3 linked regions of the Drosophila melanogaster genome follow. The protein of the gene in region 3 interacts with the protein of the main gene of each other region in a pairwise test. Each region holds a gene or a part of one and is shown on either strand. Other genes may lie near its edges.

What was found.
Region 1: the proteins of CG3847 (region 3) and CG12496 interact in a two-hybrid assay, tested with the Drosophila melanogaster proteins (one large-scale study listed by BioGRID).
Region 2: the proteins of CG3847 (region 3) and RpS7 interact in a two-hybrid assay, tested with the Drosophila melanogaster proteins (one large-scale study listed by BioGRID).

Annotation. Positions count from the first base shown.
Region 1 is NC_004354.4:2,408,811-2,412,833, forward strand, and holds CG12496 (uncharacterized protein), read right to left. Parts: upstream 2,092-4,023; 5' UTR 1,987-2,091; coding exon 925-1,986; 3' UTR 555-924; downstream 1-554.
Region 2 is NT_033777.3:30,205,976-30,210,907, reverse strand, and holds RpS7 (ribosomal protein S7), read left to right. Parts: upstream 1-1,887; 5' UTR 1,888-1,991; exon of another isoform or gene 1,992-2,250; coding exon 2,251-2,418; intron 2,419-2,482; coding exon 2,483-2,815; intron 2,816-2,868; exon of another isoform or gene 2,869-3,010; intron 3,011-3,024; exon of another isoform or gene 3,025-3,163; intron 3,164-3,277; exon of another isoform or gene 3,278-3,415; intron 3,416-3,449; exon of another isoform or gene 3,450-3,586; intron 3,587-3,616; exon of another isoform or gene 3,617-3,752; intron 3,753-3,795; exon of another isoform or gene 3,796-3,932; intron 3,933-3,981; exon of another isoform or gene 3,982-4,125; intron 4,126-4,186; coding exon 4,187-4,270; 3' UTR 4,271-4,378; downstream 4,379-4,932. Other genes in the region: Anp (andropin), read right to left, coding at 688-765, 828-923.
Region 3 is NC_004354.4:6,345,314-6,349,772, forward strand, and holds CG3847 (uncharacterized protein), read left to right. Parts: upstream 1-1,789; 5' UTR 1,790-2,191; coding exon 2,192-3,334; 3' UTR 3,335-3,923; downstream 3,924-4,459. Other genes in the region: ND-B16.6 (NADH dehydrogenase (ubiquinone) B16.6 subunit), read right to left, coding at 4,383-4,459.

The DNA of each region.
Region 1 (4,023 bases), 3.9 Mb from region 3:
TTCTTGATTGTAGATCCCGGGGCGTGCCATTGTACCTGTCAGGCATTCAATTATTCCCAGTTCCCAACCTGCATCGCCGTTGTTTGTTTTGGTCGCCTGGAAAAGCAAAGCAAATCGCTTGGTCAAGCAACTGTGTAAATATATGTTGTACGTATCGGCAGGTCAAAATGCAATCGGCACGAGCTGGGATATTGCGTAGGTGACGAAGGTCACCGCAGATGTTTCGCATTCATCAGAAAACTCGATGCGATGCTATGGCACAACAAAAATGATATTTGTTCGTATCTCGAAAATAGTTCAGAAACCAACTATAAACCTAACATTTAAAGAGTAGATTCCAATGGATACATGAGAAAACATTTCTAGACTATGAAGATAGTCTAGTCTTTTTCAAATATCACCATTTTGAAATCAATACAATCCCATATCCCTATATTGGGCAGTACGCATGGAAGTAGCCAAAGTTACTCAAAAAAGCGACATTAATGATGATAAGCTGATATATAAAGTTTTCCCCGTTTCAAAAGAAAAGAAAAGTGTACTCCATTGTTTTTGATTTAATGCTTTTATTTTGAAAAAATAATTATTTGGGTAACTTAAAGTAGCAATAAATATTCATATTTGTTTAAAATTAAATAATGAAAAAAAAGGTATATTCGAAAACTACATAACAGCAGCAAAAAAAAAAATGGTTATATTAGTAATTGGAATAAATAGTGATTAAGGTGGCCTAAGAAATTATGTACAGTAATTGAAAGATGATTAGTTTACGACTTAGGAACTAGTTAAGCGTCATAGTTAAGCGTTTTCCCCCCGTTTGTCAGCGTTGCTCGCTTTCTCGTCTCCATCTTCATCTCCATCTCGCATTTAGTTTCTCTTCTCATTTTTGTGGCTTTCCGAGGATCTGTTTGAAATTACCTCTGCTCAGACATATATAGACGAGGGCAGGGCCAATCCCACCTCGAAGTAATTGCGCTCGTCGACCTTGTAGCGCTTAATGGGGGACTCCTTGGCGACGATCTCCTTGCGGGTCCTCTTCAGGGCCTTGACTGGAGTCTCCAGGCAGAAGGTGTTGTCGCAGGGGGCAGACTTGGGGGCCACTGGAGTGGCCAGTTGGACAAGCAAGTTGTGAGGAATCTTGGCCAGGGGCGATGCCGGTTCCGGAGTGGGCATCAGGTTGTGCATGGGCAGGGGAACCAGGCCAAAGCTCAGATCCGAGGCCGGATCGTCTCCAGGTGCGTAGGATGGCGACAGCACCTCCTGGGGGCAGTTCGACTCCATTTGCTGCTTGACCAAGGTGCGTCTGCGCAGATTGAAGGTGGACCTTCTCGGCTTCTTCTTGCTGCTGGCGTTCGCCTTGCAGGCGGAATCCAAGATGGCATCGATTAGGCGATCCAAGGTCTGATCACCCATCTGCGTGGAGGCGGGCTGCGGTGTGCTTGGACGCACTTCCACCTTGGGGGTGGGTGGCTCTGGCACTGCCGTCTCCTGCAACTCCGGCTCCAAGGTGGCCACAAAGTCCTCGTCCAGTCTACGCTGCTTGAGTTTGTTAACTCCTGCACCCGAGCCTACAATATAGCGCGGCTGGCCCAGAAAGGGATCCAACGGAGCCAGGCCCCTCAGCGCCAAGTGCTGACCACTGGGCAGTCCGTTGGGCGAGTAGTCCTCGGCAAAACGTGGCAATGTGGTGGCGTATCGCACACTCTGTACCCTTTGGGGCGCCTGACTGCGCACCACCGCCTCCGGGGTGACATTCCGGATATCGCTCAGCGGCGCCAGGACCAGGGGACTGTTGCGCAGCCGGGTAATGGGCACTGGCGTGGAGGTGTAGCCCACGGTGTCAGGCACGTTCTCCTTGTTGGCAATGGTGGCCCTCCGCTGACGGCGCTGCCTCCTCTGCAGCCTCCTCCTCTGCGGCTGGTTGGCATCCTGATCGTGCACGGGAATCTCGTTCAGGCGCTGCGCCGATGCCGTCCACTTCAGCATGTTGTGTGTGGTTCTGTTTCTGCTGCTCCTGGTGCACAAAAAAAAAAGATGTACTTCTAGACTCTGCTAGTCTTCTGCTCTCGACCGCTCTCGCTGACAAACTGAAGCGGTACGGGGAGCGGGCTGCGTTTTATACCCGCTCGGCGCTCAGGGGTTAATGGCTAGGGGTTACGGGGCTAGGGGTTGTTGCGCAAGAGGCACCCCGGCGGGCAGAAGGACACTCGCTCTCTCCGGCGTTCTCTCCTTGGATGAAAAGACTCTCTTTGGCCAACGGATGTGTGTGGTAGCAAATTGTCTTTGGATCTCGAGGAACTTGAGCAACAAGCTCGAGGATATCAGCAGCTTAGCTTAGAATATGAAAGTATGATCTCTATGCCAACGAGATCTGATATTTTGATGGAGGTATTGGAGGTATTCGTCCTTTCCCACAGTTCGCAGTACCGGCCGAGAATCACCCACTCCAATCCAGGCACTCATCCACAGCACCACCACACGAAAATGACATCTAGATGTCTATCGGCCAGCGCTTGGTTATTAAATTTGCTTTCATTCCCCTCAAGGAAGTCTGCTTCCTTTCGCCCTTGTCTCCCCCTCATTTGAATGGACATTTAGAGCAGCAACAGGCTGGAAAATAGTGAACGGAAAAGGGAGAAGGGAAGTCAGGTTGGCCGGCTAATTAGCCGATGCCAAGTCCAACTTCCTGGCCGACAGCTCCTCGTCATTTTAGCCACTTGTCGTAGCGCGGTATCAGTATTAATTGCGGCTCTTTAGCGGCCGCAAATGCAATTTATATACTCGGCGGCTTTAATTGAAAATGTTTGCCACTTCCGGAAGGAAGCATTAGAAAAACGTTACAAACTCTGGGAAAAGTCCTGTGCAAAGCGTCAGTTGCTCACCCAACAGGGGAAAAGTTTGTACACAGTATGCATTATCAAATTATCAACTTTTTAATAAGTGTTCTTTCTACAAATAGATGGGCCTCATGCAATGCAAATTCACAACTTGTATGGATTTAACTTTGAAATGTAAATGTAAAAGGAAATGGTTCCCATAACCTTTGTAGTGATCTATATTTTAAAGCACAGCCGCTGTCCTCCATATGAATATGAAATATGGAACCAATAAGTAGATTATATTTCCGATGACAAGATCAAAGATAACTGCCCCCATATGTGGCTCTTGACCAGCTGTAGATGAAGTGATCATCGAGATCCCTGAGTGATCTTCAAGTGATCATCGACCAGCGATCCTAAGTGACGTTCAAGTGATCGGCGCTCGTCATCTCCTGGACTTGGATCACTCAAAGTGTCCGTGACCGACGTGGCTTGCTATCTGACGTTCTGATCTAGTTCAGCATGTAAAGGCATCTTTGAATGGGTTCTGGTCCCCTGGAGATATCTTTATTTGCGATCGATTGCTGAAAGATTTTCGCTAACGGGGATCGTATATTTCGCACGTTATCCTTTTCGGCTTTTTTGTGGTGAAAGTCGTTTTGTTTCATATGTTTTCATGTGACTATCTTCCGATCGGCTTTCATCCTGGATAGGGACACAAAAAGGGTGCTGGGGTAGTTAATCGATTACCCCGTTCCATCCACTGAAATGGCGAATTTCTCAACTTTTCAACTCTTTTTCAACGTTTACTTTGCGAAATGCGCTCCTGCTTTTGCTTACTTTTTACCTCTTTTCCCTTCGATTTGCCCTCGTTATGTCCCCGAGTCCTTCGATTCTCTTTGTGGCGCTGAGTTATTGCTGTTTACACAGCCGCACAAAAGGATTAAATGGGTTTTTGAGAGAGTTTCCAGCGCTAAGAAAGGATTCCGGCATGTTGATTAATATGATTTAACGAGCATCCTGCCTAACAAGGCGTATCCCGGCTAGTCTTCACCGGCAATTTCCACACAAAATTACCATAATCCTCGCATTTTCTGCGGTTTTTTTGGGACACAACGAAACACAAATGGATAAAGAACCACACGAAAACCTCTCAAATTCAATTTGAATTTTCGGCATTTCGTGTGCGACGATTTTACGCTTA
Region 2 (4,932 bases), on a different chromosome or scaffold from region 3:
TATTGATATTGCAGTGAGGTCTGAGCGACTGATGACTGCGATACAAAAGGCGAGAGCTTTTATAGGCGAACAGCCAGCTTGAAAAACAAAATGACAGATAAGGCATGCACGGGGATTTTTGCAGAGAAAAGTACACTGAAGGTAACCGATCTGATTCCAAGCACACATCTGCACATCTAGGGAACAATCGGGGATTTCAATGCTATAATCCAAATATGTAAATTACAAATTGTAATATCCTTTAAACGGTTCTGGGCCAATTTGAATTAGAGCTTTAATAACTCTATCCTTTTGGCATTTTGAATTGATCTCTTTCTATCTTTCTAAGACAGTCAAATTCAAATTTACTCTATCACTCAAGGGCAATTTATTTACATAAACGCATCCAATTTGTGGTATTTTTCGAGGGGAATCACTACAATATTTTACTAAAGGCACTAAATTAAGTTTGAAAAATTCAATAGGCATTAAATGACAATAAAAAATAATTGTTTACTGAGCACGTACGAATCTGAAAACTTATTTAACATTTTATTGTAAGCGAAAGCGGTATGTATGTACATACATCTCGGTCTATATTAACTAACTTAACTAAAAGTCTTGCGTTAGTAACTTAGTTGTTTTTCAGATTTTAAAATTTGTGTTTATTTTCGTTAAACGATACATTAATTAAATTGCAGTGCAGAATTACTTCGGATTGATCAATTTTTCAAAGGGCTTAGCAAAGCCAATTCCCACTTGAGCAGCATTGTGTATTGCGTTTTCCTGTAGAAATACAAATGTTTAAGCTTCATTGTAAACTACAATTGTTTAAAGAAGAAACAAACCACTTTGTCAAGAATATCAATAAATACTGCATCCGAAGGACCCACGCTGATGGCCAAAATGAGGGCCAGGACGACAAGGACCACAAAGTATTTCATAACTAGATCGCTGGGTTTTCCGAATTTTACACTGATGATTTAGACTGAAAAACAAGTGGCTTTATAGGCAATCAACCCACCGAAAAACGTTTACAATAATAATTAGACCTTAAACATATTAATTACAATATGTAAAAAAAAAGAACTCGTGTTTTTGCATTGAAAGAGACTTAAAAAGGTTTTTTATTCAAGAGCATATTTCTTGGAATTACTAAAAACCTCAACAAGTTACTAAGTTTTCATTCAATAGTGTTCTATAGTAATTAAGTTCTACAATTCTGTAGGTTAAAACTCATACGGCAAATGGCACTGGAATTTACATATATTATATTATCAATATTATCAACTTAAAAATGTCCGTTGAAAAGATTAAATATGTCTGCGTAAATATTATCTACACATATATTTAAGGCAATAACTAATATTTTTTATTATGTTGTTAATAATCTCATTAAATTCCTAATTTATGGAAATCCATTCCAAAATCCAAAATCTGTGTAATTACTTTTTTTTAAAAAACGTTACATGTGGTAACAATTGCGCCCCCTGTGGGGCTTTAATCGCAACATAAGTGGTGATACTCGCCGCTGAAGCATGGTAGATAACCCTAAACGAACCTATCGATATATATTTTCAAAGAAACATTTTATATTGTTCATACAACAATTTTTTTAATTTTATAGGCTAACAACTTAACTTATTAAAAAAAAATTTTATAATAAAGTTTTTCCAAACATAAACCCATAGTGGCATACAAACTTATCGATGCTAACTCATAAATTCGTTATACACAATCTTTGCTGAGAACTATCGATTTTTACACGCAAAACATTAAAACGCTGAAACACTTCAAAGAAATATAATCAAATTTTCTTGAATGGATGTTATGTTATAATGTTAAATTTTATATATTTAGCCATCCCTCGTATTTTCGACGAGTAATTGCTCCTGCAACTGTATCGATAGTATCGCACAACGTTCGCGCGTGTCTCATCGATAACAACTCGCTCTGTTTTCCACCTCTACGTCGTGGCTCGACTTCCTTTCCTGTCAAAATAGTCGACAAAGGTGGTACTTTTTTTCTTCCGTCGCCGAAAATGGCCAAAATACGCGGTCGCCACAACGCAGTGCAGCGAAATAATAAGAGAAAAGGCCGCAATGATAATGGCAAATTACGATTTTCTTGTGAATCCAGAGAAATGCTGGCGAAATAACGCCGATTGCCGGCGATTTGTGATTGTACTGCGTTGTGGGGAAGCGTCTGCCGCAGCGAATTTTGTGTTTGTAATTGAACCGAAAGCTAAAATACCGGTGATGAACATTGCAGATGGCTATCGGCTCCAAGATTATCAAGCCCGGCGGCTCGGATCCCGATGACTTCGAGAAGTCCATTGCCCAGGCGTTGGTGGAACTCGAGGCCAACAGCGACCTGAAGCCCTACCTGCGCGATCTGCACATCACCCGTGCCCGCGAGATCGAGTTCGGCAGCAAGAAGGTAAACAGTATATGGCGTACATGTGGAGCCTTCAATAGTAATCCGTAACCCACTCTGCACGCAGGCCGTCATCATCTACGTGCCCATTCCACAGCAGAAGGTGTTCCAGAAGATCCAGATCATCCTGGTCCGCGAGCTGGAGAAGAAGTTCTCGGGCAAGCACGTCGTCGTGATTGCGGAGCGCAAGATCCTGCCCAAGCCCACGCGCAAGGCCCGCAACCCCCTCAAGCAGAAGCGTCCACGCTCCAGGACTCTGACCGCTGTGTACGACGCCATCCTTGAGGATCTGGTCTTCCCCGCCGAGATTGTGGGCAAGCGCATCCGCGTCAAGCTGGACGGCTCCCAGCTGGTCAAGGTGCACCTGGACAAGAACCAGCAGACCACCATTGAACACAAAGTAAGCATAAGCATCCTCCACCTCAAAGAAGAGTGCATCGTGTGTGTTAGCAGGCGCGTACCCTCGATATTTGGGCCTTCCGTGCCATGGAGCTCAATCTTCGCCAGGGGACGCAGAACAGTCAGGGCCAATTACTCGTTATTGCAGGCATTAGAAGCCATTGCGGTCCTGCATCTCCAAATATTGGCCACAGTTGGTCTTTTGATACATCGTTCTTGTGTTTTTCGCTGGCTGTCCTTCCAAAGCCAGTGATTGTCAAACAGAACGTACATTAATGGCAGCTTATCACTCCACAATGTTGAGCCGAGTTTTCACGGTTACTGCATTACTTTCCGGCTCGCCACATCATTACACACTCAAATCGATACTTGAAACCATTTAAACAGTAGAATGAAAAGTCAAATAAGGGGGATAACAGATGGATAGAAAGATTATATGTTTAAATGTACATAGAACTTTCTATCGTTTTTGTGTTATTTGCTGGAAGTTACATCCAAAGCCAGTGATTGTCAAACAGAACGTAAATTAATGCGGCTATCACTCCACAATGTTGAGCCGGCTTTCCAGGGCTACTGCATTACTTTTCGGCTCGCCACACTCTCGTAGAATCTTTTAAATACCTTGGTTTCTACCACCGTTCTTGTGTTATTCGCTAGATCTTTTCATGGCCTAGCGAGCGTCAAACAGAACGCAAACTGAAGCAACGAATCACTCCACAATGGTGGGTCTACTTTACCAGGACTGCATCATTACTAAAGGATTGCTACAGTTGAATATCCACGAGAATGCTAATTGTGAACTCCGTTCTTGTGTTATTCGCTAAGCGATTACCTAAGCTCAGCGATTGTCAAACAGAACGTAGATTAACTGCCGCTAATCACTCCACAATGTTGAGCCGACTCTCAACGGCTACTGCATTACTATATGCGCCACATTCATGTCAATCAACACTTAGCCCTTGAATACTTTGGTTTCCATCACCGTTCTTGTGTTATTTTCTGGACGTTGTTCAAGTCCAGCGATCGTCAAACAGAACGCAAAGTAATGCAACGAATCACTCCACAATGTTGGGTCTACTTTGCCAGGACAGCATCATTACTTAAGGATTGCAACAGCACCTTACATTTAGAGTTACTCATCTGAAAACACACACGATGCACTTTGAGTGCCGCCTATTTGCCTCTCGAGCGCCGTTTAGTTTCCTGGGGCCTCGGGACTTCCTATATAAGCGGAAGATTAATCCAGCCTACCGTACGATATCTTCGCTGCGGTATTTTCTGCCGCAGCGGAGGTTGCGGTGCTGTACACTGCAATAAATAAGTTAATTCCTCTGATCGTGTAAACTAATACGTTCTCTATTTATCTCTCCAGGTCGACACCTTCACCTCGGTCTACAAGAAGCTGACTGGTCGCGATGTTACCTTCGAATTCCCCGACAACTACCTGAATGTCTAGAGCGGCGGGTTCTCGTTCGAGAGTAGCACTGGTTCGCCGGTTCATCTGGGAATATGAGTTTTTTACATGAGCTAGAGAACGTGAATAAACATTAAACAATCTAAAACTAAGCAAACTTCCAATTAAGCCAACTCGCTCTCCGTTGTCCTGTAATTAATCAGCGTTAAGCGCAAAGTTTCCTGAGTCTCGCTACATTCGTTCGAACTTTAATCCTTTGAAGGAGCAGTATCCTGCTGGGAAGGGATGTCACATGTTGTGATTAAGGGCAGCCATAAAAGGGGTTATTACATGGCGGAAAGCGCCATTCATTTGATGCCTGCTCAACTGCTTAATTAAAAAGTTGACGTATGTTCTTCCAAGACTCGCACGTGTGGCGAAAGGGGTTAATCTTGTGGCTACATTTTCCACTTGGCGCCTCCCATTTGCATACCATGTAATTATGCCTTTTGAACAATCACGTGTGATTGTTGGTGGTAGCAACATGAAAGGGTGTGGGTTTCTTGGATTGATTCATTTTTGGAAAGAGAAAGCTTTTCGACATGGAACACCCCATTAAAAGCTTATTAACCGCCATATTTGAATGTACTGCATGTTCGTTCATTTGGCAAAGGCTGCTGAACGAAATCAATCTTCTAAAGAAACCCCTTGATTATACTTAGTTG
Region 3 (4,459 bases):
TGGTGTATGGATTATATTCTTTGGATACTTAAAGTAGCCATAACATTGATAAGCCAAACTGAGACCTTCTCAAAAGCACGTTTTCGGATAAAATGGGTATTCAACCCAGTGTTTTCCTTCAGACTTGAAATTCAAATGGATGGGACGATGGAAGATTCGGGAAACTTGTGCTTACGTAAGTATACACTTCGCGTATGTATGTATTGCCATAGCATCTCGATAAGTTTACTGTAGAAATTTGTAGAACTGCAAAGTTTCACTGGAAGTACACGATAAGCCGAAACTATAACCTACCACAATATCCTTATCAGTGAATGCAATACATGTTCCTTTGACAAAAAAAACACGTCATATTTGTACGATTCAAAGGCACCTATTCTTGGTAGTAACTAACTAAAAATCCACCACATTCAACTTGAGATTCCCCATAACTCTTGATGTAAAATAAAAACACAATATGAAGTATAACCTTCTTTTTAAGCCGTAATTTATTCTGATGCAATTGGTGAGTGGCACCCGTTCATCTAAATGAAAACGTGATTGCCACGTTGGGCTCAATCGGTCACATTTTCCCATTTACATACATACATCTATCTACAAATGTACTTTTTACCCACTCCAGAGATCAGAAATTGATGATTGGATGGGCAGCGGAACCCCCATGTAGTAATAAATACAGAACTTTGAAATTTTGTACCCTCCACTGACGCAATTGACTTGGGATACTTTGATTGCAATCTTGGTGCTCAAGTGATGGTGCGTCATTAACCCTTTTCCACTTCATGTTACTATTTTTGTTTACTCAGATACTTTAGAACCTTCAATGCCGGTATCTTTGAACTAAATCTAGATGATTGTTCTATCTGATTTCACAATAATATTAAATATTAAATATTATAATCAGTTTTAGTATACAAATTCGAAAGGTATTCAAAAGTCTTGTATTCTTTTCGAAATAATGCAATGTAGGATAAATACAGTAGTTAGAGGGTTAACGAAGCAAAAACTTTCCATTCATGGGAATTCGTTGAATGATCTTCAATTGGCAATCGGCTAAGTCAGTTACGAGCTTTTCCGACAGCGCCGATCGCTCGTCAATCGGCGATAATTGGTTCAAGGTCGTTTTTGGAGGTGTGGGGGTAGGGGGGCGTAAAGAAGTGACACGTCCGCTAATAGAAATGCCATGAAAAACAAAAGAAACTCTAAGTGCAATTCCACATATAGCAGCACTAATTTTAGATTCGCTGAGGCGCTGGCAAATTTTTTAATGACCATTGAGCAGCCGAAAGCAGAAATTGCTTGGCGACGTGACAAATGCAGTGGCGAAAATAATCTCGCCCATTTCCCTGACATCTTCCTCACGACAGGGCACGTCTTGATGTCTTGAAATCGTTGAAAATACAGTGGGATATGGGGCTAAAGGGGGTTCACCCAGCAGTAGTTTCACTTAGATACATATCACAGGCATTAAATGATCGGTTTGATACACATCCATTATATTTTCTACATACGAATACATCCCAATAAAAATAAAAACGTACTTTGACAAGAAAGTACATCTAGAATTTAATTTTTTTGTATTTTTTTAAATTCAAAAATACGTTGAGATCAGCGTTCAAAATGCGCGCCAAGCGGCCGGCGCTGCCAGCTTGTCGGAAGCTACCGATAACAGCGCCGATTACAGTGCCGATAGGCGGCGGTCATCGGGAAATACCAAATGCGAGAAACGCACTAAAAAATCGCTGACGCGGCGGGCCAGACCGCATGCAGCTCCACTTCCAGTGTCCACCATCTTGGCCGAAGTTGCCACAAAAGTAGAATCGTGACGGACGGCAAATAATTGCAAAACGCATAGTGTTGACTATTGTGGAAAAAACCCAGAGCGAAAGGCCGCCAAAAAGAAGTTGGCAATAAAGCAGGCGGGGATTGAGTACCGAATCCAGCTGGGCCATAAGGTGCTCGAATTTGATTTCAATATTAATTCCAGCCGTGCGAAAGAGACAGCGCGTCAGCCGAGTGCGAGAGGGAGAAGCAAAAGCAAAGGCAAAGGCAGAGGCAAAGCAGGGTTGTCGCCGGGAAAAAATCATATTGTTAAAGTAGGAAAATCAAAGGCTACTGTGAAATCTTCAGATCTTCAGATTTTGCCAAAACAGGTCGTAAGTGATCAAAACTTATTCAAAGCCAACTCGATATGAATGCCAAGCGCGTGAAGTATTCCATGGTGAAGGAGGAGATCGTGCCCGTGCTTATCGAGCAAGATACCGAGGTTGATCCCGAGGAGGAGCCCGAGGAGGATGAGGAGCACGTTCAAGAAGATGACGGCCAGGAGACGCAATATACGTATGCCTATACCACCGGCGACGACGATGACACCGAAACTGCGGTGGTGACCCTCAGCGATCGTGACCACGAGGCGCTGGTCAATGCCGAGGAGGTGATTATCGATGAGAACGGTCACGCGGTGACCCTGCAGGAGCTGGTCGAGAACAGCACCGTCGAGGAGGAGACCATCGAACAGGGCGATGGTACACACACCATCCTTCATATTGTGCCCAATATTCATGGCGAGGAGGTCGAGGAGGATGAAGAGCTCGAGGATGGCGAGGAGGTAGAGCATGACGATGAGTTTGTCACCGTCGACCACGAGGGCGGCGAATTGGAGGTTGAAGATGACGAGGTGGGCTCTATTGTGTTCGAGAGTACCATCGACCATGCCGAACAAGATCCGTATGGTCGCAACAAGACCTTCTACTGTCCCAATTGCGGCAATTGCTACAGCGCCGCCGGCTCCCTGAAGCTTCATATGCGCGCCTGCCTGCGGCAGAGGAACGAGATCTCCACCGATGAACGCAAGTGCAAAGTGTGCAGCAAGGTCTTCAACTCGGTTGCCTACCTCAAGGAGCATATGATGCGGCACACGGGCGAGCAGCCCTTCCGCTGCACCCGCTGCTATCGCAAGTTCGTCGAGGAGAGCAAATTTACCGCCCACATGGAGTCGCACAAGCACCAGGACAAGCTCGAGGCCGAAGCGGTGGCCCTGGCCGCCCAGCACGGCGGCAAGAAGGTGGTCGTCAAGGAGTTCCAGTGCGCCTTCTGCTCGCAGAACTTCACCGTCGTCTTCGATGTTGGCCAGGTGAAGAGACGCTATGCCTGCGACGCCTGCCGCGATAAGTACTCTAATGCGGAGGCACTGCGGCAGCACAAGCAGCAGGTGGAGGAGAAGCGCGAGTTCAGCTGCGTACGTTGCGGCCGCAAGTTCGTTTTCGAGGGCTTCCTACAGCGCCATCTGCCCACCTGCGATGGCAGCATCAAGCGTCGAAGGGACATGAAGTAGAGGCGGCCACAACGTGATGAGCACTGGCGGCGTCGGCAGCAGCTGGAGCCGGAGCGTGATGAGCAGAAATCGCCGCCGCCAGTGCGTTACGTTGTTATCAAGCAGGAGTACGTAGATTAGGAGCAGTAGGATTAGCTGGAGCACGAGCTAGTTTCTAATGATTCGCCCATGCAAAACTCGGACACTAGCCGCCCGGGCCAGGAGAAAGGAGCAGCTGCTGTTTATCTACACGCAAACATAAGTCCACACCCATATTGTATTTTTTGGGAGCCACAACGGGGGCCACTGTCGTCAAGCGATTCCAAAGGAAAGGGTTTATCTTTTACCTAGTTGTACACAAATCCACACACACAGTTGTTTTTTTTTTTATATGATTTCAGGCCAACTCTGCGGTTTACAATTGAAGATAAAAGCATGTCGACGGATGTCGATCATGGCCCATGTATAGATATATATTACTTACTTATAATTACGACTACTTAATGTTAGAGCTCACGATCACCCGCTATTGTGTAATAACCCGAAACTCCAAATACTGACACACAAAACGAGCGTCAAATCGATGTTGAATTCAATAAAAAATAAAAATAAAATAAATCAAGAATGTTTTTCAATGGCTCAAGATTTCTTCATTGCTATTTTAATAATCCCTATTGAATCATAAGCATTTCGTAGTGTTTTATGTTGTGAATTTATTATTTTTACTAAGCAGCAGATTTTCAATTAGATTTTAATTTGGTGACACAGCCAACTGGGATTCCCCGCTGTTGGTGCCACCAAATCCATCTAATTTGGCCATTTTTGAGCACTGCCCGTGGGCTATATTGCAGCTGGACGGCAACGCCCCCGGTTTGGTAAAAATCTCTGGCTACCTCGGGTGGTCCAGCACAGGATTTGGATTAAACACACACAAAGAGAATCGGTATTTCAGCCAATCTGATCTGACATTATAATTGGTCGATACTTTCTTTTTTTGGCGCTTAGGCGGATGATCTACAAACAAAAAGGTGCGTGCTTAGGCATTAACTAATCCATTAACTAGGCCGATTTAGGACCAGAGCTTCAAGTGGGCACGCTTGGCGTACGACTTCCAGTCGGAGTGGGCGTAGAACTCCTTGAAAATGG